3 linked regions of the Bombyx mori genome follow. The protein of the gene in region 3 purifies or fractionates together with the protein of the main gene of each other region. This does not show direct contact. Links are inferred from orthologs where the notes say so. Each region holds a gene or a part of one and is shown on either strand. Other genes may lie near its edges.

Region 1 (11,239 bases), on a different chromosome or scaffold from region 3:
TCCATCCCCAGTGAAGGGTGGAAGTCCGGCGATTTCCTCCTGACAAAAAAAAAAAAAAAAAAAAAAAAAAAAAAAAAAAAAAAAAAAAAAAAAAAAAAAGGCGTCAGCGCTATCATTTTGGCCTAGTAATGAATAAAAGAAAACATTTGGTGTCACTAAAAAGTTTAGTTTATTTTAAAAATCCTATTATTCCCACAGCGTAAGGTCAAACTTCCGAAGTTTGCGCTCATACACAAAGAGTGTGACCATGAAAACTATCTATCTAATTGTACACAATTTCCTATATTCTAACGCGAAGACGCAAATTGTAAGCACTCAGTTTCTGGTGCACTTTGTTTAAGGAATGGTGACATTAAGGCTTCGATCACTATTGGTAGCCTTGTACTGTTATTTGGTTTATTTACCAACTAGCGACCCGCCCTCGCTTCGCTTCGGAAACTGTAATTTATTATTGATTTCTCCACTATTTAATGGATATAGGGACAGAGAAAGCGACTTTGTTTTGTACTATGTAGTGATATATTCCTAAAATTTCTAAACCTAAGTACTACGAAAATCTTCGAAAATTTAGTGAGATATAAGCTACGCCGAGCACAATCTTAAATGATGAAAATACACCGCTAGATCGTACACGATAAAAATAAATCCCAAGCACCATTGAGTATATTTTGTGTGTCTTGTAATGTGCCTAGGAACCCTAAACGGATTCAGCTTGATCTTAGGAGACAGATTTTCAAATTCAAAGACAAGGTCATGGGGATTTAACTGAGAAATTAAGATTTCACAGAATATATACACTAGGGCGTAATCAGCAAAGTAATTATGCAGTGTGAAGGATAAAACAGATGTTCTAAAACATATGTAGATATTTTGACCACATGTTTAAAAGCTGGCGGCGTCGATTTTTCTTTAAGCCTTGGGTTGGTGGACGGACTCGTGATACCTACACCTAGAGCTAAATGATTACGGATTGCTAAGGCATCGCAGAAAGTCTGTAGATACATCTAGAAAGAAATATGTATCTACATACCACTTTGTATCAACCATCAACATTCGACTTTTACGTCTATTGCACGCTCTAAAGGGTTTGGAATTAAAAGAGGCACCTGTTTTTGAGGAATATTTATAAAAATGTAATTTGAAATAAATTCCCTAGGAACTATATAGGGAACATTTTTACTATAGTAAAAGATAGACAATCTTACGACCCAGCTGATAGTATTTGGTCACCGACGCTCATGGACATCAGCAAATCCGGAGACCTGCGAGCCTAAGACGCCACCTACTACTATGAACTCAATTTAAACCTTATTTGAAAGACAAAAAATTAGCAGAACTTAACGCAATTTATATATCATTATAAGATTCAACGTCTATCCACAATCTGCCTACAAAGAATATTGCGGTATTTTGATCATGTTGCACGTAGGGATACCAGCAATTTGGAACGCCTTGTGGTGACTGGTAAAATGGAGAGAAAAAGGCCTAGGGGTATAGGTCCCAAACGATGGTCGGACCAAATAGCGGAGGAACTGGGGATACCTATCAGCGATGCACTCCACCGGGCTGCAGGACGGGTTCGATGGAGACAGTTGGCTGACGAAATCGGACGGAGTCACGATCCTCAGCAGTGAGGAACCGATCGAAGAGAAAGAGAGAGAGAGATATATCATTAAATATTTGAAGAAAGTTCCGTGTTTTTAAAAGACGTGATTGTTAATAACGTCTTAGGCGGCCCCTAGACCTACAATAACATTGTACCATACAATATAATGTACCTAGAATAAGGTTTAAAGGCGCTCTAAATCTAAACGATCAATTATATTGCACAATAATACGAACTGCACAATGTTCGCGAACTCAGTCAGCGCGTATACTCCTTGTCAAGACGAACCATAGACAAAAACACACGGTAACCGTACTCGTCGAACTCGACAAAGAGTTCGACGTGCAACCTAACCCATCAGCCCGCTGAGTTTCTCGCCGGATCTTCTCAGCGGGTCGCGATTCCGATTCGGTAGTAGATTCATTCGCGAAGCAGCTACTCTTGAGTTGGTCTCGGAGGCGCTCAGGCAGCTGTTAGCAAATCTCACCCCTCCTGGCTGAGCATTTGCTCGCCCACCTGTCCTGGTGAACCTGGAAAGGCCTCCGAGGCACCAGTAATACTTTAATCATAAAAAAAAAGACTTAAAACATTGCACTGACCGTACATGATGCAATAAATAAATATGGTGCAATAAAAATTAAACTATATAGTTAAAAACGTTCAATCATCGTGCAATCTTTAATATTAACCCTAGTCAAAAATACTGCCAAGTTCGCAATACCAGGCAATATAATTGATCGTCTAGATTGCCGCTTACGGTAGGTATACTTATGAGATAGTGAAAATCCTAGTATTCGAATCATGGAATTAAATTATTTTAAACTGTGATATTGTACAGACTTTAAGTCTAATAGCTGTGCATTTTTCGCTACCTATTTGCTGGTAGTTTAAGGGGCTATTGTAGCTACGCGCGGACGAGACTGCATTAATCATCATCATCACTACATAGTACAAAACAAAGTCGCTTTCTCTGTCCCTATATCTGTCTGTTCCTATGTATGCTTAAATCTTTAAAACTACGCAACGGATTTTGTTGCGGTTTTTTTAATAGATAGAGTGATTGAAGAGGAAGGTTTATATGTATAATAACATCCATTAAGTAGTGGAGAAATCAATAATAAATTACAGTTTTGAAGCGAAGCGAGGGCGGGTCCCTAGTAAGTTATAGAAAGAAGAGTTTAGCAATACACAAAGGCGACATCCGAGTCGTCTATTATCAAAGGTGGCAATCTGTGCATTTGGACAAAAAAATGTTATTGATATGTCAATACAGATTGATTTGAATATAATCGTCTCCTTCAAAGAATACGGTTCAAAACCTGCATTAAATAAAGGTTAATAGTTAACCTGTTATTTATCTAAGATGTCGTTCCGAGGAGTTTTGTGACTGCCAATGGAATACAAAGTCAATAATTCGTTTTTCTAATTTACCAATAATTGTCCAAAAGTCAGATTGCCGGCTTTGATAATAGTCGACTCATCTATGGATTGTGTAAGAAAGTTGTAAATTACATTTATACGAGTATGTAACTATCCTTCTAGAATTTGATTATTACTAGATACAACAACAATACAGGGTGTTATTCTTCAGAATTCAATAATTAGATCATTAAAACATTTAAAACAGTATCAGAATATATCTTAAAAAAAGAAGCCACTTTTTGCTGATGTTTGTTTTAGCCGCGTTTTTTTTTTGTTATACTGGATCGTTCAAGTAAAACTTGGAAATATATTTATATATTTATTTTAAACATAAGCACATTTTGTTACATTGAATTAAATTTAAAACTAAGCAATGAGTCTTGTACTTGTAAAACACATAGTTTGAAATGATATAAAGCTTTACAAAATTACAAAACATGAATTAAGAATATTATTAACATTACTTGATGCTATTGAGTAGTACTCTTGAGGAGTATTCTAAACACAAAATATTACCTTAGGTAATTAGTTTCAAAATTTATCCAAAATTAAAGAAAATGTGAGGAAAAGCTTTGATGTGGCTTAATAATATTATCTAGCTTTACATTAGAAAATATCAGTATAAGTCATAGCTGTTGGGATTACGTTAATACATTCAGAAACTTGGCTTTGCTCTGAAATCACTGATGTACAGAAGCAATAGTAACCACTTTGATTAGGACAGGGTGATACGTGGTAACAAAACACAAATGATTCCACTTTTAACACTAAGATGTAATCATTAAAATGTTTTAAAAAGTAATTAAAATACTTTAAATAAACTATAAATTAACAAAGCAGAAAATTTAGGTCAACTCTATACATTAAAAGGACACGAATCTCTCCACAAAATATTTTTTAAATTAAGTCTCAGATATGTTATGAAGAGTTAGCTTTTTTTGCTTGTAGTTCGTTTTGAACTTTCATTTCAACTAATGCATTAACAGCTTCACGGAGTTTCGATTTCTCTGCACCTAACATACTTATTTTCTCCATTTGTTCTGTAACAAATTCTACTCTTCTCTTGAAGTAATCTTTGCCACTTTCAATGTCCTAGAAGCAGAAATAAAACGTAATACAAACATATGTCAGCATCATTAGCCCTAAGGGGTAACCCATGCAGTTAATTTGAAATTATTTGAAACTATATCATGATTCAATCTTCATACCAATATTCTAAAGTACTCAACATTTTCTGAAATGAGGTTTGAAATGAAAACAGCAGCTATACATGATATATTATCCTGCCAAACTTGGAGCTGAATTAAGTGTTAAATTAGGTTTAAATTTATTTTTAACTAGCGCCCCCCCTCGCCTCGCTTCGCTTCGGAAACATTAAATTTTATTATTGATAGCTGAGTCCCGCGATGTTATCCCGTGGTACGACAATAACCGACGCCGCGGGCCGAACCTAATCTAAGAAGTAGCCTAAGTTACTCCTTATATCATCAGCTACCTATCAGTGAAAGTCTGGTCAATATTGGTCCAGCCGTTCCAGAGATTAACCGGAACAAACAGACAGACAGGCAGACAGACAAAAATTGTAAAAAATGTTATTTTGGTGTATGTACTGTATATATTCATATGCATGTAGTAAAAAGCGGTTATTTCAATATTAAAAACAGACACTCCAATTTTATTTATATGTATAGATTTAAGTTACTCACTTTCTTAGCGTAATATCCAGTGCCAATGTCAATAATGACATTCTCAACATCAGCTATTGTGCCAGGAACATACATTGAACTAGTCAATGGAACAAGCATCGGTTTTCCTTTGATATCAGGCGTCATCTTCTCTAGAACATCTCCTGATTCACCAAACTTATTTTTAGCCATTTGTAATGTTTGTATTGAATCATGAAATACTGTCAATTCCTGAAATAAAATTTTATGGATTTTGTGTGAGAGTATTGCCTTTTTTTCGGATGGAGATAGCTGGTTGCAAGGAGGCCACTACTGCTTCACTAAGATAGGCAGGGCAAGCATGGGAGCAGCCAGGAGGAGTCAGATTTACTAACAGCTGCCCAAGTACTCCCAAAGTAGACCTAAAGACTAAAGGGCAGACGTTTTACTAATGCATATTGTAACATAACATCAGTTACTAACATACAGACACATTTTCACTGGTGGTAGGACCTCTTGTGATTCCGCGTGGGTAGGTACCACCACCCTGCCTATTTCTGCCGTGAAGCAGTAATGCGTTTCGGTTTGAAGCTGTTGTAACTATACTTGAGACCTTAGAACATATCTCAAGGTGGGTGGCGCATTTACATCATAAATGTCTATGGGCTCCAGTAACCACTTAACAACAGGTGGGCTGTGAGATCGTCCTCCCACCTAAGCAATAAAAAAAATGTCTCCCTCAATTTAGTCATTATGTTTGATGTTCCATTTCTGGCTAATTATAGCAATAGCTACAATACAATAAAGAAAAGCGGATATGACCTGAAGCTGACTGTTTACGAAATAGTCTTCCAATAAAAGATCAGAACAACAACATGATGACTGCTTGTCTACCAAAAATGAGCACATTCAGTGAAGTCTTCTCTTTAACATATCTTAGATTCATAGCTTTGTGAGTTGGTATTTGAGGTCCGGGTTCATGTCACTAACAAGTACACCTAGATACACAACTCAGACCAGAAAACATATGGAAATGTTTTCATTCCGGCTTTCATGAGGGTCCTTAAAATAGGACATAAGTCCTGTCTCTTAAGGACATTAATAGTTACGACATTTAATAATTATCTGTATAAATTATATTATGTTGAAGAAATAATACTTAATGCTTACTATTTCTAAAATAGCTCTATAGATATTTCCTTTATACATACCTGGTCTAACTGCTGTTTCAATTGAGCTAGTTGAGGCAAAGGTAGTTTGTTTAAATCGATTTGTTGAGTGCCTGAACCGGATGCCATCTTTGTAAATATTAATAAAAGGAAATAATAAAAGAACTTAACACACGTTTCTAGTTATTCTATTTAGTTTTTTGTAGGATCCTAAGACTATTTCTTTTTTCTAACCTCAAAATAGGTAGATTTCGGGTAGGATCCAAAACTTCAGTCAGAATATGTCAATTTGACAGTTTTACTTGTTTGGTCCAAATTGACATGCAAACAAATTCTGCCTATAACACCAAATAAGTGAAAAAAACAAATCGATAAAGAAAACCTCTTAGTAAAATGTTGAGAATTTACAGAAACTAAACTGGATTTATTAGTGTGTATCAATTTGGCTAGTCATATTGGTAGTTTTCTACCAATTTGACCGCTAACGAAAATCGTATTAAAGAGGTTAATAAATTTATAAGTTAACAATTATGTTGCGAGCATTTCGAGAGAGCAATGACTAAGCAAACCTTTTAATCACCATATAAATTAGCAAAAAAATTGGCTCAGACACAAAAAAATCTACCACTAAGCTTGATCATTAACCGTAAACAATAAGATGGCTAAGCGATTTTAAATAAATAAGATATACATGACATAATATAACTTCGCTGTGTTGCTAAAACTCCTTATTGTGTACATCTATTTATTATTTATGACTCCTTTTGCTTGTCCAAAAAACAAATCAAACAAAAAAATTTGGCTCGAAATAGAGATGATGATTCGACTTCAGACCAAAATTTTGAAAAATCGATTCTAGAAAATACCCAAGTGCAACCAAAATGACACAAAAATCAATCAAACAGAAATTAACAACAAATTCATTCAAAAAATTTAATAAATACATGATTTATATACAACAACTTTTTAAATTATTATTATTTAAAATGTAAATTTAAATTTAATAAACATTATATTTAATATATTCATAATCAGTTGAACCATAAATACTTTATTAATGCCTTTTCATCAAATTTCGATTTTCTACTGCTTAAGATGTTTCACTATTCACGATTTAAGTTGTTAACAAATTAATTTACTCAAGTATCGATCTTAGACCACATCCCTAATCAGAGATGTCAGAAACTGAATGAACATGATTAAATAAATTGTAATTTTTGCATCGAGTACACCTACGATTCCGGATCTTGCTGTAATTGTAATTCAATCTTGCTGTAATCCAGTGGCGCTTATATACTGTTTACAAAATTTATTAAAGTAACCTAAACATAGTATACTGAAATGTCGGTCAGTAAATTGGACTCTGTTGAAGATTTTAATAATTTTATAAGGTAAGAATCACCGCTAATAAAAAAGTACTTTTAAAACCGTTTGTGAAAGGATCATTAAAAATAAGCCATAAAAAGAAATTAAATTAAATACACAGTAAATAGGTAAAAATGTTAGATAATAAATTACTATGTAGCAGGATGGTCAACATTTTGCATTCATTGAAATGGAAATATGTATTTAGAATATAAAATTGAGAATATTACTTTCAATTAATCTTTTATCACAACAAGATGATTCTTTAATATCTATCTTGGTATTGGCTGATATCAAAAATTATTTAATTAATTTAGATCACCTGCACTTGGAGTAGTACACTTTTCAGCAGAATGGGCCGAACAATGTAAACAAGTTACAGATGTACTTGAAGAACTCTTAAAACTTCCTGAAATTCAGTCGAGCAAGACACAATGTGCTGTTTGTGATGCCGAGGCACTTTCTGAAGTTTCCTTGCAATATAAGGTAATGCTCTGCTAATATATTGTTAAATAAAAAGTAATAAGTGCTAACCCTAAAAATGTAGTGCATCATAAAGCACAGACAATTAAGTCACCTATTGCAATACCTGTGTATACTTTTTTTATTATTTATTAAAGCCATACACTTATTAGGTTAAGTCGGCTTATATACCTTTATGGATACATCAATTTGTATCTTGATTTTGGTTACTCAACTATGCATTAAAGACTTTATGTCATTCTTCAGATTGAAATAGACTACTTTAGGAAACACTACACTAGACCAGTTAAGCAATCAAAGAGCCTATGTAATTGAATATTGAAATAATTTATAATGAAAACAATCAAAATAGGGAAAGCCTGTTTTAGACAACTTATTAATGATTATGTTTATTTCAGGTAGATTCAGTGCCTACAGTTATATTATTTAAGAATGGAACTCAAGTAGACAGGATTGATGGAGCAGATGCTGCTCAAATTAGCACAAAAATTAAAGCACAGAGTCTTAATAAGAGTCCTGCAGAAATAACCCCTCAGAAACTTGAAGATCGACTAAAAGCTTTAATAAATAAGCATAATATAATGGTATTCATGAAAGGGAACAAGGAAACTCCAAGATGCGGGTTTAGTCGTACTCTCATACAAATTCTGAATGGAACAGGGTATGTATTATTGATGAAATGATCAATACCTATAATTTGATTGCACTATTTTACATGTGTAAGTATAGATGTGACTTTGTCATGTGAAATTTGGCTTGGCCCTCGAGACAAGTTTTGTAAAAACTAAAGAATGGAGAACATTTTGCCTATTTCTACAAAACAAATAGGTATGATTTAAATTGCAAAATGAAAGATTTTTAGTTTTCTATTTTTATTTATTTTGAATGAATATTTATAGTGAATATATACATATAAAAATCACATGCTTTCTTACTCTAATGTAAACAGCAGTCCATCTTCACCAATTTGATTTGATATTTTCATGACACTCTTCATAAGTATGAAATCATTTTTTTTTTATTGCCTAGATGTGTGGACTAGCTCACAGCCCACCTGGTGTTAAGTGGTTACTGGAACCCATAGACATCTACAACGTAAATGCGCCACACACCTTGCAGAAATAGGCGGGGCGGTGGTACCTACCCGTGCGGACTCACAAGAGGTCCTACCACCAGTAATTACGCAAATTATAATTTTGCGGGTTTGATTTTTATTACACGATGTTATTCCTCCACTGTGGAAGTCAATCGTGAACAATTGTTAAGTACGTATTTCATTAGAAAAATTGCTACCCGCCTGCGGGATTCGAACACTGGTGCATCGCTACATACGAATGCATCGGACGTCTTTTAGGCCACGACGACTTCAAAATTACCTATAAACTTGGTTTATTTTCACAAGTAAACCGTGGAATAAAAACTTTTCTGCACTCTTAGCGTGTGGCGGGTAGCCATCATACAACGCAAGATAATTGACAGATGCCTGAATCTCGCTTATGACATTTTCAAGATAAAGCGCATATATCACACATCCCATCACAAGTGGGCTGTGAGCTCGTCCACACATCTAAGCAATAAAAAAATAAAAAAAATACAAGTTCCGAACAACGACATTCGGACCGTCGGTCTACCGAGCAATATCACCCGCTCGGTGGAAGATCTTTCCTTTCGTCGTTAAGACTCCCAAAGCGCACATCAAAACACTCCTTTTGGCCTGACATAGCTTTTTTAGTACTTTTTTTGTTGGTCACATGTTTTTAGTGTAGTGCTAGAAATAGTACTGTGACGTGCTCGGGTTCGGGATAAATAAAACTTTCACCGAAGTACAAATTAAAACTCTATTTAACTCTTAGAACATTTAAGGCACACTTCATAATTCCTTTACACAACTTTAAAACGCGCTGAAGGCATTCGAAAGCAATACCGTCATCTTGATAGGAGTTATGAATACGATAGGGAAAAGCGACAATACGGACCAACACGACTAAGGGAAGCAATTTATTAAAGTCTGCGAAAACCACGACCTTGTTATCGGAGGTACACTTTTCCATGATAAAAATATACATAAGTATGCGTTGACTTCACCCGATGGCAACATACGTACGAAGACCAAACTAGCTGCCAAGTGTTCACAAAAAGTGTAGTGCCGATATCGGCAGTGGTCATATGTTGATGGTCGCTGAACTCCGGCACAAGGTTGCGACTACGAGGCGAGCAGCTGGCAGCAACAAGATACGACTTAAGTTCGATTGGGGACAACTTGATAGAAAGATTTCTCGAAGTAAATTTGCTTTGGAACTCCGAAATTGTTTCTTCCGTCTCTATGCGAATACTGATAATACAGACGAAGAGTGCAACCGAATCAAATCTATCAAGAAATCAGATCTTCTGTCTTAGATCATCTTGGAAAAAAGCGCGATGATTGGACCTCCGACGACACTTGTGACCTTAAACAGACTTGATGCGATCTTCACCTAAACATCCTAGAAACCCCGAACAAAGCCGAACGGTCTTGCCTTAGGGACCAGTACAGTCAAATACGTACATGAGTGCATCTATCGCAGCACCAGAAAATACAGGCGACGATCTACTGACGGTAAGCTGAATGTGCTCAAGCAGCAGTCGATACGGGCAACCTGAGGCAATTGTACGGTGACACCAAAGAGCTGGCAGGGAGAAAGAGACCCAAAAGAAACTGCTTTGGGATAAAAACAGAAACTACATCGCGACTTCAGAAAGTTATCTTGAATGTTGGCGCGAGAACTTTCAGGAGTTTTTGAGCAAATGAATTGTCCTACCATCTCCTTCATCTCCAAGCTCAACCCTACCATAGTTTTTAGACATTGACACTTCGATACCGCTTCGAGAAGAAGTTGAAGCAGCTTGAAGTACAGGGTGGCCCATAAGTCCTTTGAAAAGTAAAATTTGAATAAAATGAACAGGGCGCGCGTGAGCGGTGCAGGGGAAGCGGGGGGAGTAACTTCGGTTTCTGGGAATTTAGTCGCGATGGAGCGTTTTACCGGAGCGGACCGTGCGTTTTGTGTGCGCGAGTTTTATAAAAACGACAATTCGGCAACCGTTGCGCGGCGTAAATTTCGAGAACACAAAGGTTTACACAACTTTGACGACACTCCAACTCTTCAAACGATTAAGAACTGGGTTGCTAAGTTCGAGGAGACCGGTTCGACGTTAGATAAACCGCGGTTGGGTCGCCCAAGGACGTCACGTACGGAACAAAACATAGACACAGTGACACAGTCTATTCGCGAAAATCCGACACAGTCAACTCGTAAGCGCGCCAGAGCATTAAACGTATCCAGGACATCGTTACAACGGATTTTGAAGAAAGATTTACATATGCACCCTTACAAAATTCAGTTGGTTCAAGAATTAAAGGAAACTGACGGTATTCAAAGACAAAATTACGCGAATGAAATGTTGAATCGGTTTACTTCCTTCAATAACATAATGTTCTCTGACGAGGCTCATTTCCATCTTAACGGGCATGTTAGTAAACAAAATTGCCGCTA
Region 2 (11,119 bases), on a different chromosome or scaffold from region 3:
TCGTGCTCTCATGAAACGACATGCTGGATTATTAGACTCGTAACAAAAAGATTTATTGATATCGTAAGATGTATATAAAACGCTCATTAACAGTCCGATAAAGAAAAAACGACTATATAGTTATTGTAGGCGATGGTGAGTAAGGTCCGATTTAGACTCATCTGATAGAAGGAAGAAAAAAACACCTTAATGGAAGGGGAAGGGTGGGAGAAGTAGCATTGGAGCCGTGTGAGCACTCTATTGAGCAAATTAAGTGATCATCACGTGCTATCAAATATCGGGGTAAAATTTATTGGTCGTTCAGACGCGGCACAATAAATATGGCTAAATCAAGTGTTTACCTACCATTATGGCGGCGGCACGCGCTACTTTTATTTTGTTATAAGTTGTAAGTCAATAAACAGGTTATTTTTTATTAATTTATTGCGTAAACGCATGAAGGATCCGACCTTATATAAATGTGTATTGTGACTATAGTGTATATAAAAAATCTTACGGGCATCTTATTTTAAGTTTAAGAAACCATTCCCGCATGTTGCCTAATTTGCGCTTCGTGATCTGTATAGGTTCCCGTAAGCCCATAACACCAGAAGGGGCGCGAAATCGTGTTCCCAATCAAAACAATAAAGCTAATAGATAACAGCTAATAGAATTAAAGGGTATTTCAAAACATCCTTATTTTGTTTTATCAAATGTTCGTAAGATCCCGTAAGAAGGTATAAAAATGCTGGTAGTATCAACAAAATAATATGTAATGCTTGGACATGCCAAATAATGTGCCCAAGTGATCGCTAATAGGTCGGTCTGACAACGTACTTATTAAATATATTGATAAGACAAGCCTAAACGAAGGTCGCGTCGCGTCTGCGGATAAAAGCTAATATGTTATTGGCTAGATATTAATTCGCATCTATTAATTTGTTCCTAGCATAATGAATAACTTTATTAGAACACCTATGTACCGTTTTTTATAAATGGTGCGTTTCGTGGTAATATTTAAATTGCGCCTAGTATTCTGTTTCACGAGAATAGTTAATAGAATAGGTCATAAATGTTGAATATTGAGGTCGATTTATAGACAGTGATATGTTAAGGTTTGTTGGCCTCTTAGGTTTAATGGTTGTATAGTGACTGACTTTTGTAGCAGGCACTCGGAGCGAGTTCAAATTCCTGTCAGTCAGTATTCTTATTATAGATTGTTGCAATTTTTTTTGTATTTCTCATACGTATGTGTGTTTCCGGGACCCGATGGGGTTTGTCACGTATATAATTCTTCTTCATCCTAGTCGTAAACTCTTGGCAAAGTGGTTGTCATGTATCACCGATGCGCTCGCGATGCGACGCCATGTTTATAATAGACGACGTGACCATGACGTTTATAATAGTTCCGCTTTAATTATGTACAGATAGGCAAAAAGAGAACAGTTAAGTTTCTTTTTCTTCTCTCTTTGCCCGATTTTTTTCCCATTACTGGTTATTGTCTGATAACCACGAGCTTTGGTGTTATCAAAACTTGTTTTTGTTTTTGGAAATGCCTAGTAAATTTGCTTTCAGAATGTGCATAGCAAAATAAATGAGAAAAAGTAAAATAAATCTAAGTAAATCATGAGGTGTCAGTGATTATTCTCGAATTTTGATCATTATATGAACATTAGTTTTAATAAAAAACGTAAATATCAGATATTTTACCATTTCTAAAACCAGTGATAAATGAACTTCATCATGTTCTTTGAGATGATTGTGTGATTTTATCATAAACGTGATTCAATTCGGTGTATAAACACCAATATTTTAAGTGTTACGGCTTTGTATTTTAAAACTTTTATTTAATAATTTATTTTTATAGTCTTTAATTGGATACTAGGTGCTATGTTATACGTTTGTATTTTATTCGTCTACTGTGAAATTTATTTGCATCAGAATTTTAGTATTAACGAATTTGTTATGTTCTTTAATTAAATATTATGAAAGGTATTGACGTTACATTTTCGTAATTACATACTGCTTAATAAATGGTCATTGTAATAGGAGCTAGTGGTCAAGGGTCCGAAACTTCTAAAGGCGGGAAAATTTGGTGTAGAAGCAATAAAGATATAAACAGTAAATTTACGTTTAAGGTGTACTAAACGTTGGGTTATTACTTATTACTAGCGCCTAAAAAAAATTTGGTTTTTATAGTATTGATGTTGATCGCATTTAGCATTTTGTTAATGAAGATAAATTATGTTCAATTTATGTAGGATGTAGGTAATGAGGTGGTATTTTTCAGTGCTTAGGCTAAGTTAGGCCCTGAATATTATTATTTGCGATTATTCTTCATGATAAAAAAAAAGTTTTGTTGTCAGTGCCTAACCTAAAGCACAGTTACGCATCTATTATAATAATAATATATCGTTGATTAAACTATTTTGACATCGACTTTTTGTAGAAAATGTTAGGGCTCGTCTGGTACGTTCGAAGAGTCGAATTTGTTTGGTACAAATTGTAAAACGCATCAGCATAATATAGTATACCGTTAAATTCTCGCCTCATATTTATAAAACCCGGGTTTAAAATAAAACAGCCCTGTCTTTAGGATATGTTCCTTTTTTCAGCAATATTATTTTTAGGTTTATTGATAGTAATAGCCAGGCGAATGTGTTGCCGAGACATTGTACTTAATGGAAAACACACCAAAGAATTCGAAGCACCAAAAATTGCCTGAGATTTTTTCAGATATGCCATTTTGTTTTGTCGATATTGGAAATGATGAAGCTTTGTATTTTGCGGTGGTGTATATTTGCACATAAAATAGTGGTGCACATAAAATGTGTTTTTCTTCTGTATTATATTGTATTAGTATTATGATTAGTAGCTTTATTTGTTTGATAAATTAGTATGATTGTATTAATCAAATTAATTTTGTGATAATAAATTTTAAGGTTTATGTTTATGCTAGTAATCCTGGTCACGCTTTGCCGTGACTATAAGTAATTGTGTGAAAAAGATATATTTCTTGAAACTATTCATGCGCTATTTATGTTTATGGTACTATGACAGAAACCTCTCCTGGAGCTCCAACCACATATTATTATGCATCATCAAAATAAATCACAAGTAACACATACTAATCTCACACAAAATTTTAATACAATTATAATTTATCGATTACATGCAGTGGTGAGATGAGCGGTTCGATTTTAGATTCTATGAAAATATGACATTAATACAAATGAGTTCAGTTAATAAGGTTAAGGTTTATTATTATTTAATTATCATAAAATTATTACTACCTAATCAACGGTTTAGTAACGTATAGGGAACACAACTAGAATCTTTATACATCGCACTTATGGCAAAATTCTTGTTTTTTGGTAAATATAATTGAAATTGAAGAAGCCAAAAATGTAATTGAAGAGTTGTAATTTTTCAGTTTTTAATACTTAAAGCCTTAAAGCGTATACCTTAAATATTATGGTATGCCCTTGATTTTAAAGAGAGGGAAAGTGTACTTTGTCCTTTTCTAACTAAAAAGGTGGTGTGTTATTTCAAAAAGACTACTTATAACTGTACTACTGTAACTATACTTGAGACCTTAGAACTTATATCTCAAGGTAGGTGGCGCATTTACGTCGTAGATGTCTATGGGCTCCAGTAACCACTTAACACCAGGTGGGCTGTGAGTTCGTCCACCCACCTAGGAATAAAAAAAAATAACAGTTCTATATCATATAAGGTATTGTTGTGTAAAACACCTCAGAAAAGCTTAATAGTGACAGCATAGCATGACTGGGATTCACTAATGTACGTCTACTGTCTATTGTAATAATGAAACTTTTAATTAGTATAATATATTTCAATAAAAATACAAGACCTGAATAAGTTGACAAGTCACGAATGCAACTTTCATGTTTAATTATTTATTGAAAGTTAAAAAAGATAGATATCAATTTTGGAGTAACTCCCAAAACATTTTCACACCTTCAACATAACTACATAAGCACAAGGTTAGCTATGTACCACTATTCAAGTAATAACATTTTTTATTATGTACTTTGTTTCCCTTTTATGAAAATGCATCATAGAATGATGTCTGTTATATTTTTATTTATTTATTAAAACATATTTAGTTATCGTGATAATAAATAATTGATGTGTATATTATAGTAATGGAAAATAACTTAAGTGAAAAATCAGTATACATATTCCACAAATCTAGATAACAACAATAATATATTTTGTTCTATATTTAAGGACCATTTCTTTGAACTTAATAAGTCTTTACTGTAATTTTAAACTGCATTGAAGTAGGTCAGCCAATTTTCGAATTAAGAAACATAAATTCTTATTGTGTAAAAACAACAAAGTTTAGAATAACAATAATTATTTGATGTGAAGCCTATGTAACTTAAAAGCTTAAAATATGAGTACAATTTTTGTGAACAAAATTAATGTTGTTTCAATCTTCCTCATTTTCCAAGTTAATGTGGCTACCAAATTTTCCATACAAGTGTGCTTTCAAGTCACTCATTTGTGATTTTAGTTCCTCACATTTTTCTTCTAAATCATGAATTTCATGTATTTTTTTTGCTTTAGCTTCCTCAAGATTTTTCTGGAATAAAATTATAATACTAGATTTAAATATATATGAGTCGTCTATTATCAAAGGTGGCAATCTGTGCATTTGGACAAAAGTTTTTTATTGATATGTCAATACAGATTGATTTGAATATAATCGTCTCCTTCAAAGAATACGGTTCAAAACCTGCATTAAATAAAGGTTAATAGTTAACCTGTTATTTATCTAAGATGTCGTTCCGAAGAGTTTTGTGACTGCCAATGGAATACAAAGTCAATAATTCGTTTTTCTGATTTACCAATCATTGTCCAAAAGTCAGATTGCCGGCTTTGATAATAGTCGACTCATATATAATATTATTTAAGGGTATATACCCTTTTTTATTTATTGAGTTAAGTGTTAAGTTTAAATATAAAATGAGATTAGATAGTTGGATATTTTTTAGTTCTCAATTTTCAGTTGGATTAATATTTAACTAATCTTCAATCAAGCTTAACCTACAAATAAGGCACTTTTATATATTAGAAAGAGAAAATTGTATGTTTCTAAAAATCTATAATCTAACAAGCTTAGCACTAAAAGGGTCAAAAAAATTTGTTATGAACTTAAGGCTTGTATATGATCCTACAAAATGCATTAAGTAATCTGTCAAAAGATGAGTGAGTTTTTGTTTTTGAGATATGCACTGAAAAATATTTAAATAATTCTCTTGGTATTCGCTTTTTACTGAAGCATTAATATCAGATTGAACATACATTATTTTATAAATAAGTTTAGGATAAACTGCTGCAACTTTCTTTTATCAAATGACCACTATTTTACTTTTAGTTAATAAAATATATAATATTAATGAAATTTTAAAGAATATTAATGTGATAGTCTTACCAAAGTAATTTCCAAATTCTGACAAATAAAAATTTCACCAATAAGGTAAGGGATTTTTTCAGAATCATCAGCAAGGCTCAGTTCCTCAACTGCTTCTTCTAGGTTCTTTACATCGTTTTGTTTTACTTTGAGCTCATCCTTATAATCGTCAACTTTAGCATTGAGACGAGCAAACTTGTTAATTTTTTGTTGATCTTCATATGAAATGTGTACATCAGAGTCCTAGAATGCCGAGGAGAAAAATAAATGAAATTCAATAGAATGTTCATGTTTCGTACCTAAAATGGTCTCAATATGGTTAATTAATACAGTAAATTTCTTCTGCTTGTTATGTTTTGACAAAAATAAGTATTGCACATTTACTTACTGGCTGAAAAGTTCCTTTAGCTGTAGTTGACATGTTTACTATCAATATTTAAACATAAAGCATTAAATTTCGGCTGCGCTTAACCTCAAATCGAAATTGTTCATTATTGTTCACTTTTTTTAAGCGTAATTTGTTCATTGAATAGGCAAAAGGAACTTAGCCTATAAAGCCATGTTTGTAACGAAGGCCGAACGGAGTGAATAGTAATTGATTTTGGATGTTTATTGATTTTATGATTGATGATGATTAAATGGAATAAAATGTAACCAAATTCAACATAAGATGAGACAGCATGGTTGATTTTAAAAGGAACAACCTATCAGTAAGATGGTGCCTGCTCATTATGACTCATTAGACTACCTAAGTTTCGAACAACAAAATTGACATTGGATCAGCTTGGTGGAAAAAAAACTTCTACAAAATTATTTTTCCTACCTAAGCCTTGATTTTTTTTTTTTTTTTTTTTTTTTTATTGCCCTTGTAGGCAGACGAGCATACGGCCCACCTGATGGTGAGTGGTTACCGTCGCCCATGGACTTCAGCAATGCCAGGGGCAGAGCCAAGCCGCTGCCTACCGCTTAATACTCTCCACAAGCCTCGTTTGAAGAAGGACATGTCATAGCGCTCGGGAAACACCGTGGAGGGGAGCTCATTCCATAGCCGGATGGTACGTGGTAAAAAAGACCTCTGGAAACGCACTGTGGATGACCGCAGTGGCTCCAGGTAGTATGGATGAACTCTACTCCGGTGGCGGGCGGTGCGATGGTAAAAACGAGATGCCGGTATCATCTCGAACAATTCCTCAGAGCACTCCCCATGGAACATACGGTACAAAATACAGAGGGAACCGAAGTCCCTCCTTGAGAGGCTATTTCAGCGTAACCTTAACTAGTAGGTGAGCTCACCGGGCTCAAACCGGAGTGACGCTAACACTGACCCTAGTAAGAGCAGTGCTTCGCAGAATCTACCGCCAGATCGGAAATGCGTCCCACTGAGAACATTCAGCGAGAAACTCAGTGGGCTATGACTATGGGTTAATTCGCTCGTCGAGCCCTTCATCGCAAGCGACGGGTTCGACGAGGACGGTGCTTGTGGTGCCTAAAAGCACCGTTAATGGATCGGGAGGATCCGTAATGACGTGCTTTGGGCAACGTCGACTGCTTACCATTCGATCTACAGGATCGGGTATGTCTCACAGCGCTCAGCAGCCCTAACTATAATATGAATGACTTCGTATACCTATTAAAGATTTGACGAATGTATCGGTATATACCTGAATGTGCACGGTAGAAGCAGGCTGGACGGGGGAATCATAGTCTACAAAGACTCCTAAATAAAAAGAAAGATAAAAAGAAAGATAACGATTTCATTCCACTCAACACAAAAATTCGGAGGTAGGAGACTAAAACGAGAATGTTGAATGAGAATTACTACAAATGAATATATATTATGTTAATAAAAATACCCAGATAAGTTCATCTGGAACGTATCTGGGTATATTTATTTATCCTTTTCATTATTTCAAAATAAGTTAGAATATTACCCATAATTTAATATCAGATACCGTTGTGCCGTGTGTTTCCCTTGATTGATTGATGCTTCGAATGATCTGAATGAAATGAATAGAGCAATATTATACTGATACGGATTTTTTATTATGGATCTAAGCGGTATTTTCAGCCATTGTATAAGAATGCAAAACCGGGCGGGCGACCGGCGACCCCACCACGGCCGTTCTCTGCGCCTACGCTCGACGACACCACTCACTTGTCCTAAGTTGTCCGCAGACCCGCACTTCAACTTCGAACATCAGACACAGTGCGCGTTACCCAGAGACGAGCAATAAATAAATTTTGATAAACAGTATTAGGTCGTGATGGAAAAAGAACACCAGCCAGACTCGATGGCTACAATAACTATGAAGCCGGAATATCCGCCTTCTGAAGTATACAGCACATCAGAACCGCCACCGGTATGCAAAACCCGTTACCTATTTAAGAATTAATAATATATTATTATTATCATATTGAATAAAAATATGATTAACATTACAATAAAACACAAACTTTAATTTTTAATTAAATACGTACATTATTTGAGTGCAGTAACTGAACAAAAATCTTTTATTTTTATAGATTACATTAAAATAAAATATCAGATATGAGTCGACTATTATCAAAGCCGGCAATCTGACTTTTGGACAATGATTGGTAAATCAGAAAAACGAATTATTGACTTTGTATTCCATTGGCAGTCACAAAACTCTTCGGAACGACATCTTAGATAAATAACAGGTTAACCATTAACCTTTATTTAATGCAGGTTTTGAACCGTATTCTTTGAAGGAGACGATTATATTCAAATCAATCTGTATTGACATATCAATAAAAAACTTTTGTCCAAATGCACAGATTGCCACCTTTGATAATAGACGACTCATATAGTATAGTCATTAATTTCCTGTACCTATTCAGAAATGTATGGTTTTCTAATTGTTAAACTATTATGACAGTCACTAAATGAGGCAAAATAATTGTGCAGTCGAATAAGTAGGATACAACTGGTGGAAAGCGCCTTTCTCTCGGTCTAGTGATTGTCTATAGCAGGTGACGCGTAGACACTTGTTTGTAAACACAGTTACTTTATTCATTCGAGATATTGGCAATATTAGTGTTCGAAAGACCTAGAAATCAAGAAATACCAAGTTATCTAATATATAAATTGTTAGACGAAGCTACGACTGAGTCAACAAAAATTAATTCAAACAATAAATTTTTCTGAAGTAAAATTTTACGAATTTATTTTATATTTAAATTATTGTTGTATTCTCCACTTATCAAGTGCTTGATTTAGGTAACAAAAAATATGAGTTTTTAATAAAAAACATTTTCAAAGTTATTATTCTCAGATTTGTTTACACACATCTTTAGCTTTATATTTTTTGCAACCAAAAATGAGAAAGAAATGACATGAGGAATCATAAATTATATTAATATGTTAATCGTGGGAAATTATATTGTTGTGTTTTGTGCGAGCATCTGACAGTTTCTCATCAAAATCTTAAGACTTTATTAAAATCTTCTATAATATTCAAATTCCAGATTGGTTTAGTCCAAAAGTTTTTGTAGTTCAACATGCTAAGTCGTGGAAAGAAAAATATCTATGCGGTTGAATTTTCTTTTTTTTTTCTTTTTAACATCTTTTTATTCAGAATTCGCTTCATTAAGTATATTTTTTTGTTATTAGATTAAAAAAGTTCGTTCGCAACATAGTTCAGAAATTGTGGGCACATTTAAAATAACACTAGGGACGACCAGTAAACTTAATTCTATTGAAAATATAATATGATTTCTTGCACCTCAAAATCATTCCACTTGCATCGAGCCTATATTTACTTTTTGGTTCGTTTAAAAAAATACACGCGGAAAAAATCTTTTAAATAAAAGCCTTCTTGAAAGGATTTGGATCGTCCCAAAAAGACTAGATTTGAATTGACGTGAATGATGAATTGATTGACCGCGCGGTTTTTCCCCATAATCTTTACAGCCATGACTAATTTGCAGAAATTTACAGTTCCCAATTTAAAAATAAAAATAAATGTTTTGGAAGTTCCTGTGGTTATGAAAACAAAGAAGTTTTTACAATAGAGATAAACAATGCACAACACAATCCGGAGTGAAATCGTTATTGGCTAGTTGACCAAGTGGACAATAGGCTTGCGTCATGTCTCAGTCAGTCACAGTTTGATATTTGCTCGAAATATCCACGATTAATAAACAATAGTTCGTACTCGTTTACATTATAATAAATACAATTTATTCTGACATGAAATAGCCGAGTAAAGTTGTTGCTTCTTTTCCTCTAAGTGCGACAGGTCGACATCAAATTTATTCATGTAATGTTCATGAAATTTTTTAACTTACGGCAACTTTTTATAGTCATAGTCAAAGTGATAAGTTGTAAACATTAGGACCACGGTGAAAGACAGTCATTTAGCTAAGCAGCTTAAAGTGGTCGAATTGAGTCGTAAAGTGTAAACTAAACAATCACTTTTTCATTTAAATTACAATTTAAGCACAAAGTGGTTGTGCGATTACAGTGACATATTATGACTTACGTGATAATCACTTTGATGTTCATGGTACCAACGTGTGATTGGTACCAACGAATTTATCTGACAAATAATGAATAAATACATTTTCTAGATATATAAGTGTCTTTTATAAAGTTTCACAAATAGCGGAAATGATATTTGAACTGTTGTTTTTTGCAGTAAACTTTATGACTCACATACACCGCTAAACACACAGAGGTGTTCACTTTCACTAATATTAAAAACGTAAATATTGATTGATTTTTTGCTCAAAAAAGATTTTTTTGTTCCTTCACAAAACTTTGTATTATATATTTGCACTTCATGCACATTAGTGTATTTTGGTGTAGGTACATAATGTCTTGAGCGTTCCCTATCGTGATTTTGAAAACAATGTATATTGGTTGGTTGATTGGTTGAAAAATTAAAGTAAAATGGTAACATACATTATACTAAATTAATATGAAATTTATAACTTTTTACTATGATATTTTATTTCACGCCATTAACTAGGCAAAATAAATAGCCGTCATTCTAATACAAACGAGACTTTGGCCAGAGCTGAGGTACCTATTTATTTGGTGTAAGGTAGGCCTATATCAAAAAAATCATAAAAACATATATGTAATTAAATCCGAGAACATCAAAGATATGAGAGACTGAGATATGTACAGTAAAAGTATCGTGATATTAAAAAAAAACCTCGTACAGCCCTTGCTACAGATAAAATGGACAAAATAGTAGATTTTATTTGAAAATATTTTTTGAATTGAAGTGTTTCTTGAATATTTATGTTATAAATACGTGATCCAAGACGTTTTATACCAACACGGTGTAGCAACCTACAAGTTGTTGACTAACGCATTTGGAATTATAATGGGAGACGTCAATACAACATAATAATCATGTTTCTGTTTATATTTTACACGTTACTCAAAACAGCGGGTATACACAGTGTTACTGCTTATTCAACCTAGGCTTTTGTTTTAACGATAAATTATCATTTCCTTGAAGTATATATGCCCTTCTCGGTTGCATTTTTACTTGGACTGCATTTTAATTAGCATTTATAACAAAACCCTAATGCTTGTTTTAGACTTGATCTCAACGGAAACATTCTATTCCAATCGAATTGTTTTGTTAGTAATTTTTTAATGTAATTTTAGTAAGGTTGTTATTTAATTCATAATAAAGTTTTCCATTTCGTTCAATCAAG
Region 3 (11,121 bases):
TACAAAAACTCAGTAGTTTTTCCAGCCCCTAGCGAGATTTCAAAAATCCTTAAAGAAAATCATGACCTTCCCATCGCTGGTCATGTAGGCACATCACGAATGTATAATCGTATTAAAGAAAAATATCATTGGAAAAATATGAAATCAGACATTGAAAATTATGTGAAAAAGTGCATACAGTGTCAAACGAATAAGGCGCTAAGACAAATAAACAGGCAACCGATGCAGATAACCTCTAGTTCAACAGCCCCATTTCAACGCATCGCCTTAGACATCGTCGGACCATTACCAGAAACTGGTCAAGTTAAGCTTAAATATATATTAACATTGCAAGACGACCTAACAAAATACTCTACTGCCTACCCTATTAGTAATGCCTCAGCCGAAGAATGCTGCGAATGTCTCATACATTTTATATCTCTTTTCGGAATACCAAAAATAATATTAACAGACCAAGGTACAAACTTCACCGCCGACCTTTTTAAGAAAACTTGTGAATTCCTCAAAATCAAACAATTATGGTCTTCGCCCTACCATCCTCAAACACAAGGAGCCTTGGAAAGGAGCCATTCTACACTAAAAGAATATTTAAAATCATACGTTAACGAAAATCAAACCAACTGGCACAAATATGTTTACACCTATGTCCTAGCCTACAACACTAATGTACATACTACTACAAAATTCACACCCTACGAATTACTCTTCGGCCATAAACCCTATCTACCCGATTCTATTTACGATCCTAGTCCTAGTGGTACCTATCATGAATATGTTAAAATGCTAAATCATCGCCTCAAATTAACACGCGATAAAGCTTTAGAAAATATTCAGAAATCAAAAGAAAACTCCAAAACCTATTATGACCGAAGGTCTCGCCCTTCCACGTATAAAATCGGTGATATGGTATATCTAAAAAACCACTTACGTCTACGGAAAGCATTATCACCCTTATGGAAAGGACCATACAAAGTGGTAAAAATACATGGAAACCACACACTTTCCCTTCTCATAAATCGACGACACGTAAGACATCATTATGATGAAATTAAACATGCAGAAGTTGAAACCTAATAAGTATGATTGTGTAATTAATATGATTAATTATTTTATTAGTTTTATTTCCTCTCTAGTATAACTTAACTCAGTAGCCTTTAAGTTAAAAACATTTATCGTAAAACATAAATAATAATAAATACATTCTCTTACAGCCTGTCGGCACCATGTCAAGGCCTATCACGCACTCGAGAAATTACCAATATCGAACAAATTACGAAAAGCCCTGGCATTTACTTTAATCCCTCGGGATCTGTTAGGATAATTAGTGATTATTTACATGTATTAGTACCAATGGACATAGACTACATTAAACCCCATATAGATAACATTCAGACGGTTTTGCATTCAGCCAGATACTTCTGTACTAAAAACAATGTGGTTGACGACCTAGAGTGCGAGAATATGTTCATGCCCCTTTTATCTATGTTCAATGATATCTCAAGGGACTACCACGCCATTTCTCATCTTATCCAAAGTAAATCAAAGAGGTCTGCGTGGATTTCCGGCATCGGCACTATTCTTAAACATATAATAGGCACCATGGATGAGAATGATGCTATAAGGTATAATAAAGCCATTCAAATACTTAAAGATAATAATAGAAAAACTCTAGATTTGATAAAAGAAAATATCCTTATCTCCAAGTCGGCAATTATAACACTCAACGAATCCATAATTGAAATCAACACTAATGAACATAAATTAAACAAAATGATTGAAAACCTATCTTCCAGTATTAAAAACCTAACAAAGGCAAGTAATGCCTTGTTGTTTAAATCTACAATACATGACATGATAAATGTTATTCAATCAAATATGTTAAACTTGTCCTATAAACTAGAAGACATCATAAACTCAATTTTGTTTTCAAAAACCAATACGCTACATCCATCAGTCATAACACCCAAAGATTTGTATTATGACCTTGTTAACAATGTTAAATATCTACCTAGATATTCGGAATTAGCTGTAAGTTTAGAATTAGAAAACATATATGTACTTATAAATCTCTCGGAAATTATTACATGTATTTTAGAAAATAAGCTTATATTTAGTCTTAAAATTCCTCTAGTACTCATTGATACTTATACTTTGTATAAGACAGTACCTATACCAGTACCCCATAATGTAACATCCAAATCTTTTGCACTAATACTACCTACATGTTCTTATGTGGCCTTAAATCAGAGAAAATCGAAGTATCTTAAACTCGATAATCTTTCTAAATGTAAATCTATTAATAAGGAAACTCATATTTGTAAACAATTAGATGAAATAGATATACAAGACTACCCCATCTGTGAAACAGAAATAATGACAAAAGTCTTGAAATCACTTCCGAAACAGTGTAAAACTAAATTTTTATACGGCCATGCCAACATATGGCAATCCTTAAATAATAATAGATGGGTCTTCACACTATCTGAACCCACTAAACTCAACATTGAGTGCACAGACGAAACTACCGAATATATAGTTTCAGGAACAGGCATATTATCCCTGAAACCAAACTGCACTGGATTCTGCAAAAACATAAAATTAATAAGTAAAAGTTATCCTGAATATAAATTCAGTCACATACACTCAGAATTCAATTTAGTAAACGATACATGTTGTAACCCAGCAGTGTTTGAAAATTATAATTATACCGAATCTATTACAGGACTGCATAACTTAGAATCGAATAATTTAGACCAAATAATCAACAAAGCTGATAACATGCTACAAACCTTAAAACATTTAAAATCTCAGAACGAATCTATTTCGATAAGCACTCCCCATTCCATTGTCACATACTTATTTGTAATACTATTTGTTATTTTTATATGTTATTATTTTTGTCATAGAAAGTGCGTGGCTTTTGTGCGTAAATCTAAACCAAACGAAAACACGACGCAAATAAACACACCCCCACAAGAAAATATTCAACTAAATACCCAACCGCGAATAAGAATCCATTAAACTTTATATTAAAATAATCATCGAAAACTTCGGAAAGCCGTAAGTTTTCGCTTAAAGGGGGAGCTGTTATAATATTAACTAGTATATTAATTAATTTACCTAAGACCGAAAAGTGCCTCTAGCAGCACTTTCCGGCCTAACATATACTAGAGCCCCGTTGGCTCGATGTCAGTCACTCTGCGTCGTTACTATGAGCCACACTCTTTCTAAGTAGAATTTTGTATCTTCAAAGTGAATAAAATCTTTTTTAAAAAGAGTTTTTCAAAGTCCCGTATAACAGAGCGCATTCCATTACGCTAACCCGACCTTACGAATTCAGCGCATGAACGCCATTACTTCGGTTAAGGACGAGTCACGCTTTCTTTGTTACCACACTGGCCACTGCATTAGGGACCAGTTACATAATAGTTTACCAGCGTAATAAATAATAATAATAATAATATAGCATCCATTATGGATTTGGTTCGGATAGCATTTGCTGATTTCCGAACTTGGAATGATATTAATGATACAATAGACTTAACTTTGTATACCTAAGTGGCCGACATTCTAAACCCGTAGAATACGGATAACGGATACAGAACTATCCGTTACTTTAACAATTCCTGAAATTTGATCAGCATCGATGGAAGGTGTAATTAACTCACGTGGATCATTATGGGACAAAGCAGTCATAATATGTTATATTTTAACTGTTTTGTTTCTTTATTTTAAAATTTAGTTTTAGTTTATTACAGATTTAGGCTATAAAAAATTAATTGGGGCCTTCGTTTTCATTTTTGAAGATTGTTATCATGTAATCACGTTCCGTTTTCTATTGCATCTGGTTTCTAGTTACCACGAAATGGGGAACACACAACTCAGGCGAGCAGACAGACGCTCTTCGAAACGTCATGGCATTCGAACAAAGCGCCTAATAAAAAGTTTTACATTGCCAGTGTACTTTATTGCTATTAATTAAATTCGGGCACTTTAAGTATCTATAATAATCTTTAACATAGTTATGAGTTAAAAAGTTATACAAACTAATAAGTCTGTCCTTAATTTTTAATTAAGAAACTGAGACTGCCCAGGTATCTAGGCAATAAAAAAATATTATACACAATAATAGAAAACGTAAGAAATTTAGAACCTTTTTACCTACGATATCAGATCAGGAATATGGAAATTCGCAGGAAAACCGTAATAACTGACATAGCCGAAGGAATTGTGAGATTGAAGTGGGCAGAGCATTGCTCGTAGAACAGATGGCCACTATGGCTGAAACGCTTTCGAGTGGCGACTGTGTAAAGATGTAGCTTGGGTGGAGCTCCCACAAGGCAGACCAGCTACCTGTTAAATATAGCGGGAATCCGCCGAATGCAGACAGTGTAGGACCGGTCGTTGTGTCGAGGCTTTGGGGGGGCCTTTGTTCAACAGTGGACATCTGTGGATATTGTCGTTTATTTAACTTTCTATACATAGCCTGGTTTTACTACTCATTCAGTTTCGAATAGGTAGCTTACTCATTATTGAATTTTTACCAGGCATATGTCTTCAAATCCAATTTCGTCTTATTGCAGCCAATTTAATTTATTTTTAAATTATTTCATTTTCATTCATAAAATAATTTTCATTACACTTTTTTAACAACTAACAGAGATTCGACATATACTAAAGTAGGGACCCGCCCTTGCTTCAGAAACTGTAATTGATTATTGATTTCTCCACTATTTAATGGATGTTATTATACATATAAACCTTCCTCTTCAATCTCTATCTATTAAAAAAAGCGCATCAAAATCCGTTGCGTAGTTTTAAAGATTTAAGTATACATAGGGATATAGGGACAGAGAAAGCGACTTTGTTTTATACTATGTAGTGATGAGGTTTACTCGCAGATGCTAAATTCCCGTTGCCTAGTCAAAAAACGAAACGAAAAAAAATTAAAATGTCAGATTGTCCTACTTGCCAGTTGTCAAATTTTGTAAAAATAATGCTTCATGCTTGTTTTCTCCACACAAAACTAAGTTTTTAGTTAATTTCCAATTATAAAATACATTAATTGAAGGTACAGAAGCTCATGGACAGTTCAATATTTAAATAGGTATATTTAAATCAAACATAACAAAGCCGCTTGGTGGCCATTCTGTGATATTACGGCAAAGGTACATAAAATATATATTTTTTGTAAATTTAAAACCATATGTAAAAATCTAAAAAATATAACTTGAAAGGTATGAAAACTTACGTACTTGAAAGACAAAAAAAATAAAAAAGTCACTATTCATTAAAATTTCATATAAATATCATTTTGATTTGTGTTTTCAGAAACATTAAACATTATCAGTGATGTCGATGCCACACAGCAGTTCGAGTACCAGTTCAGGCACGAAACGTAAAGAAATATACAAGTAAGTAACGTTACAACACAATATGAACTATAAATAACAGATTGGAAATAATTGACAGTATAAAATACAGAGTTGACCCAATTTTGAGATTGCTAATTATAATTAGGTATAGCGTGTTATTTATTTCTGTACCCATTCCTATGTTTCGAAACATTTGTAATACAATCAAGCAGGCATTATGGGACTTACTAATTTAATGCTTTAGATGTTTTGAAATATACAGATAATCCTTTCACAATTCCCGAAAAGAACTAAAGTGATGTTAACAAATTGCAAAAACAGCCTTATCTTGATAATTACGTACGAAATTTGAGTTGTTCATACAGTTAGGTTAAATTCTCATAAACGAAGTTGTGATAAAAAAAAAACACTATAAGCTAGACAGCTGCATTTCTATGTCACACATCTTTTACAGATACCAAGCGCCATGGCCATTATACTCAATGAATTGGTCTGTCAGACCTGACAAGAGATTCAGGTTAGCCCTGGGCAGTTTTGTTGAGGAATACAACAATAAAGTAAGCTTTTACAGAGCAGTTATTATATTAATTTAGTAATTTACAAAACATACCAACAGGATTAAGTAAATACAGTATAAAGGCCCAGATAATGAATCATGCAAAGCTAATGCAATTTTAGGGAAGTCAATTTGTCAAAAATTTCCCACTCATTGAATTATAAAAGATAGAGGTGTGTGCCTTATAATCTATAAATGCATAATATTACCAAAGAAAATACACAATAAATTACATATTTTTGTTGTTGTTCATTTTTCAGTAGTTGACAGAATTGGTAGGAGCACTTAGTTTGTGGAGGCTGTTCTTATAGACCAAGTAGACAAATACAGCAAGAAAAAAAAAATTCTAAGTAATTATTGGTGCATAATATTACTTACTTAATTCCACCATTAAATTAGTAAAAACTCAACTACATACTACTAATTAGTTAATTGTTTAGCATAATATACAAACATATAGTAAGTAAACCAGGAGTTCCCAAGATATATAACCCACTTAGACACACAATAACTTGACCGCAAAGGTTTTAATTGGTGAGTATGTTGTATGAATAGGAAAAGAACTAGGGATAGGGTTTTTTAAATAATTTGGGTATGGGGTTTTGAGGTATCAGTTCATTTTAAAAAGGGGTCTGCCAAAAATTGTTTTATATTACCTAATATAAATGAATTTATTAGTTTTCACTACATTGAAGGATTTTTAGTGAAAACTAATATATTAATGGTTTCATTTAACACACATACTGTATTGTAGCATTCCTTGTGCATGACATAAGCTTAATAAAACTCTTAAATCCTAGGTACAAATAATTTCCCTTGATGAAGACACAAGTGAGTTCACTGCAAAAAGTACCTTTGATCACCCGTACCCGACCACCAAGATTATGTGGATACCTGATAGCAAGGGGGTGTATCCAGACTTGTTGGCAACTAGCGGTAAGACTTCGGTAGCAGTTTGTTAGCACTAAGATTACCATATTTAATATGGAGATAATGAGGCTTGAATTTACTTTTACACTGCTACATAGACAAAAACATATACTCCCAAAAATAATGCTTACAATATCATCTCTCTCTAGAGAAACAGTATTCATGATAGTCTTTGAGCTCCATAAACCACTGAATTGTACTTAACTGAGCCTGTCTATCTCCTTTGTCGTCATATCACTCTTGTCAGAGCGGTTGTGGTCGTCATTCAGCATCATTGCTGAGGGCAGATGTTATGCGCCTCACAAGCAATCGCTACTCCTCCCGGTTTGTGGTGAGCCTGGTACACTCATGCAAACAATAATAATCAATCTACATAAATAAAAATAAGTGATACCCTATGAGTACAATATGAATGATTGTGATGTTAATAGAGGCAACTTTCGTTGACATAAACAGTTTTGATAAATAATCAAATTCAAGTAAAACTATTCAATAAAATTTCACAATGGTGCCTTATGTTGCAGGTGATTATCTACGCATATGGCGTGCCGGAGAGCCGTACACATTATTCGAATGTGTCCTAAATAATAATAAGAATTCTGACTTCTGTGCTCCTCTTACATCCTTTGATTGGAACGAAGTGGATCCTAACCTCATTGGCACCAGTAGTATTGACACGACCTGCACCATCTGGGGCTTGGAGACTGGACAGGTCTTGGGCAGGGTCAATGAAGTGTCTGGGCACGTGAAGACTCAGTTGATCGCTCATGATAAGGTTTGTGATTTTTATTTAATAGAAGATCTTGTTAATTCATTTGTGTCCAAAATTTATGTTAATGATTATCTGAAGATTATTGGTGTCTTCAAAAAATTTTCGTTCTGCGAATCTAGTATAACCCCTCGAGGTTACAAGAATATGTTGAAAAAAAAATTTTTTCAAATCAATGTATTCAAATATGTTTAAATCACTTATTACAATTTTGACATGATACATATTTATCAAACTAAAGAATTGCAGGATTGAAATGGGCATGTTACATACGTGCCCGATTTCATAATGATCACATAACATTTTAAGTTTTAATGTAATCATAAGCATGTAGTGTGAAGTATATTCAAGGATGCTCACAACAGATACTAATAGAATTTTATTCTATTGGAGATTCCATTAAAAATCTATTAGCATACACAAAACTGGTGGTAGGACCTCTTGTGAGTCCGCACGGGTAGGTACCACCACCCTGTCTATTTCTGCCGTGAAGCAATAATGCGTTTCGGTTTGAAGGGTGGGACAGCCGTTGTAACTATACTGAGACCTTAGAACTCATATCTCTAGGTGGGTGGCGTTATTTACGTTGTAGATGTCTATGAACTCCGGTAACCTCTTAACACCAGGTGGGCCGTGAGCTGGTCCACCCATCTAAGCATTAAATAAATAATAATAAACAAAGCCGAACGTATACGCCCCTATCTGGTTTTATACACCTTGACATAATACAAGATGCACTCTGCGTGTACATCTTGCTAGACACTGTAAAGTGATGGTTACTTGAACAATAATTTGTCCTTGTCTAACTCGCCTTAGAGAAAGGTGGCTGAACAAAACTTTATATACATGTGGGGGTATACGAAAAAAAGGTTCGACGGTCCGAATGTGGTCGTTCGGAACCTGCATATAGGCAAGCTTATTAAGCTATAGCAAGCTTGAAAATGTCGTAAGCGAGATTCGGGCATCAGTCAAATATCTTGTGTCGTGTGATGGCTACCCGCCACATGCAACTTCTCGCGTACGGCAGCCCTAATGCCGGTGTTTGTGCGCAGGAAGTGTACGACATAGCGTTCAGTAGGGCCGGCGGGGGGCGAGATATGTTCGCTTCCGTGGGCGCCGACGGATCCGTCCGGATGTTCGACCTCAGGCATCTAGAACATTCCACCATCATTTATGAGGTAAGTACAGGAGGCAGTAAGCAGCGTCTTTCGGCGCTCGTGCATGGGCGCATACTATCATTATTTGGACATGTCTCCCGGCGAGTAAATGACTCCATAAAGCGCCTTATCGTTCAGGGCAAAGTAGAAGACACCAGACCGCGTGGAAAGTTGCACATGCGATAAACTGACCAGGTCAAGTCAGCTATTGGCGGCTGTTTGCCTGAGTGTACCAGGCTCACCACAAACCGGGAAGAGTGGCGATTCCTCGTGAGGCGCATAACATCTGCCCACAGCAATAATGCTGAATAACGACCACGATCGCTCTAACAAGAGTGATACGACAAAGATAAAGATTCAAGAGGCCTGCGGCACGAATGACTAACACAATGAAGGAATGCCGCGTTAAGTCCGAGTTAGTTGACCATGTACTGTGGTAGTAAGACGTCTTGTGAATGTGCACGGATAGGTACCACCACCCTACCTATTCTTGTTGTACTGTGAAAAGTGAGGCCTTAGAACTCATGTCTCAAGGTGGGTGGTGGTATTAACTTTGTACACATCTATGGATTCCGGTTACCCCTTTAGCACTACGAGGGCCGTAAACAGCAAAGTAGAATCGGCAAAATTGCGGAATTTTCACTGTAGGTAGTAAGATCGATATCACAGATCTGCAGTATCGGGCTGCAAAACAGTCGTCTGTGAGGACCCGTGCAGTTTGCCTGTGAGCGCCACGAACTGGTCTGATCGTGTTTATGTTGAGAAGCTGCTGTCAACATAACAAGTCTTATGGCAGACTGTAATGTAACACGCAGGACCCTCAGCACACCCCGCTGCTCCGCCTGGCCTGGAACAAGCAGGACCCGAACTACCTGGCCACCATCGCCATGGACGCGTGCGAGGTGATCATACTGGACGTGCGCGTGCCCTGCACCCCGGTGGCCAGGCTCAACAACCACAGGGCGTGCGTCAACGGCATCGCCTGGGCGCCGCACAGGTTCGTAGGCCAGGTAGTAAAGTAGGAGCATCAAGGTTGCTAAACAAGCCCATCCGATATCTCCTCCTCTGGGACTGTGTTCCTCAGCGCATTATACGCAAAAGATAATTTGCGTAATGACTGGTGGTAGGACCTCTTGTGAGTCCGCACGGGTAAATACCACCGCCATGCCTATTTCTGCCGTGAAGCAGTAATACGTTTCGGTTTGAAGGGTGGGGCAGCTGTTGTAAGATAATGTAATACTGAGACCTTAGAACTCGTATCTCAAGGTGGGTGGCGTATTACGTTGTAGATGTCTATGGACTCCAGTAACCACTTAACAACCGGGTGGGGTGTGAGCTCGTCCACGCACCTAAGCAATAAAAAAAACAATGTTCTTGTCGTCAAGTTCTTAGAACTCTTCAAACTAGACTGTGCAGCCGAAAACACCAACTTTTGTTCTAATTCAGTCCGTAAGGTATGCTCCTTGTATTGTGAACGGACCACAATAATATAAATAATAGTTTAAAAAAAACAAAAGAAACGCTTTTATAGAAAATCCAACTAAAAAATAGAAAACAAATTTTAATAAATTTGTTTTTGTTGTGTTTGTAAATGTGTTTTTTAAAATAAAATCATTTTTTTTACACTATTTTTAATTCAAATTTATTACAATTTATTTTATATTTTTTAGTTGGATTTTCTATAAAAACGTGTTTTTTTTTATAACTTTTTTTTAAACTATTTTTATTTTTCATTTTTTAGTTGAATTTAAAAAATTAAATTTTTTTTTTTAATATTAAAATGTCATCGATCCTTAATAAGTATGCCAAATTTCGAGTTAAACCGACGTTTTGAAGGGGGTCAAAATCACGTTCAAAGATTCCGATACAAACTAACATACATACGTCTCATAAAGCTTATTAATAAATAATAATTACAAAATTTTAACCCTCAGACACAGCCCACTGAGTTACTCGCCGGATCTTCTCAGTGGGTCGCGTTTCCGATCCGGTGGTAGATTCTGCGAAGCACGGCTCTTGCTAGGGTTCGTGTTAGCAACGTCGTCAGGTTTGAGCCCCGTGAGCTCACCTACTAGTTAAAGTTACGCTGAAATAGCCTCTCAAAGCTCTCAGCATAGGTAGAAAAAAAACAATTAGAATAGTATGAATTCTTTTGTGTTATTTCGGTTCGTTTTAAAGTGAAATTTTTAATTCAGTTCTTGTCACATCTGCACCGCCGGAGACGACCACCAGGCCCTCATCTGGGACATACAGCAGATGCCGCGCGCCATAGAGGACCCGATCCTCGCCTACACCGCCGCCGAGGGAGAGGTCAACCAGATCCAGTGGGGCGCC

The links. Proteins that work in one complex are often made in the same cells at the same time.
Region 1: the proteins of DDB1- and CUL4-associated factor 7 (region 3) and prefoldin subunit 5 purify together in Homo sapiens (affinity purification with mass spectrometry; 3 studies listed by BioGRID and IntAct, with this or other methods). This does not show direct contact. The link is inferred for Bombyx mori from reciprocal best matches to the Homo sapiens genes DCAF7 and PFDN5.
Region 2: the proteins of DDB1- and CUL4-associated factor 7 (region 3) and probable prefoldin subunit 4 purify together in Homo sapiens (affinity purification with mass spectrometry; 3 studies listed by BioGRID and IntAct, with this or other methods). This does not show direct contact. The link is inferred for Bombyx mori from reciprocal best matches to the Homo sapiens genes DCAF7 and PFDN4.

Annotation. Positions count from the first base shown.
Region 1 is NC_085112.1:5,058,414-5,069,652, reverse strand, and holds prefoldin subunit 5, read right to left. Parts: upstream 6,147-11,239; 5' UTR 5,991-6,146; coding exon 5,904-5,990; intron 4,945-5,903; coding exon 4,735-4,944; intron 4,121-4,734; coding exon 3,947-4,120; 3' UTR 3,335-3,946; downstream 1-3,334. Other genes in the region: glutaredoxin 3, read left to right, coding at 7,203-7,252, 7,544-7,712, 8,108-8,370. UniProt on the Homo sapiens protein: Binds specifically to cytosolic chaperonin (c-CPN) and transfers target proteins to it. Binds to nascent polypeptide chain and promotes folding in an environment in which there are many competing pathways for nonnative proteins.
Region 2 is NC_085117.1:12,407,028-12,418,146, forward strand, and holds probable prefoldin subunit 4, read right to left. Parts: upstream 6,147-11,119; 5' UTR 5,844-6,146; coding exon 5,811-5,843; intron 5,666-5,810; coding exon 5,444-5,665; intron 4,592-5,443; coding exon 4,439-4,591; 3' UTR 3,815-4,438; downstream 1-3,814. Other genes in the region: EN protein binding/engrailed nuclear homeoprotein-regulated protein, read left to right, coding at 7,687-7,782. UniProt on the Homo sapiens protein: Binds specifically to cytosolic chaperonin (c-CPN) and transfers target proteins to it. Binds to nascent polypeptide chain and promotes folding in an environment in which there are many competing pathways for nonnative proteins.
Region 3 is NC_085118.1:1,107,161-1,118,281, reverse strand, and holds the start of DDB1- and CUL4-associated factor 7, read left to right. Parts: upstream 1-4,937; 5' UTR 4,938-5,168; intron 5,169-5,331; 5' UTR 5,332-5,352; coding exon 5,353-5,414; intron 5,415-5,829; coding exon 5,830-5,932; intron 5,933-6,731; coding exon 6,732-6,867; intron 6,868-7,385; coding exon 7,386-7,636; intron 7,637-8,682; coding exon 8,683-8,808; intron 8,809-9,602; coding exon 9,603-9,784; intron 9,785-10,982; coding exon 10,983-11,121. Other genes in the region: uncharacterized protein LOC134199889, read left to right, coding at 1-1,074. UniProt on the Homo sapiens protein: Involved in craniofacial development. Acts upstream of the EDN1 pathway and is required for formation of the upper jaw equivalent, the palatoquadrate. The activity required for EDN1 pathway function differs between the first and second arches.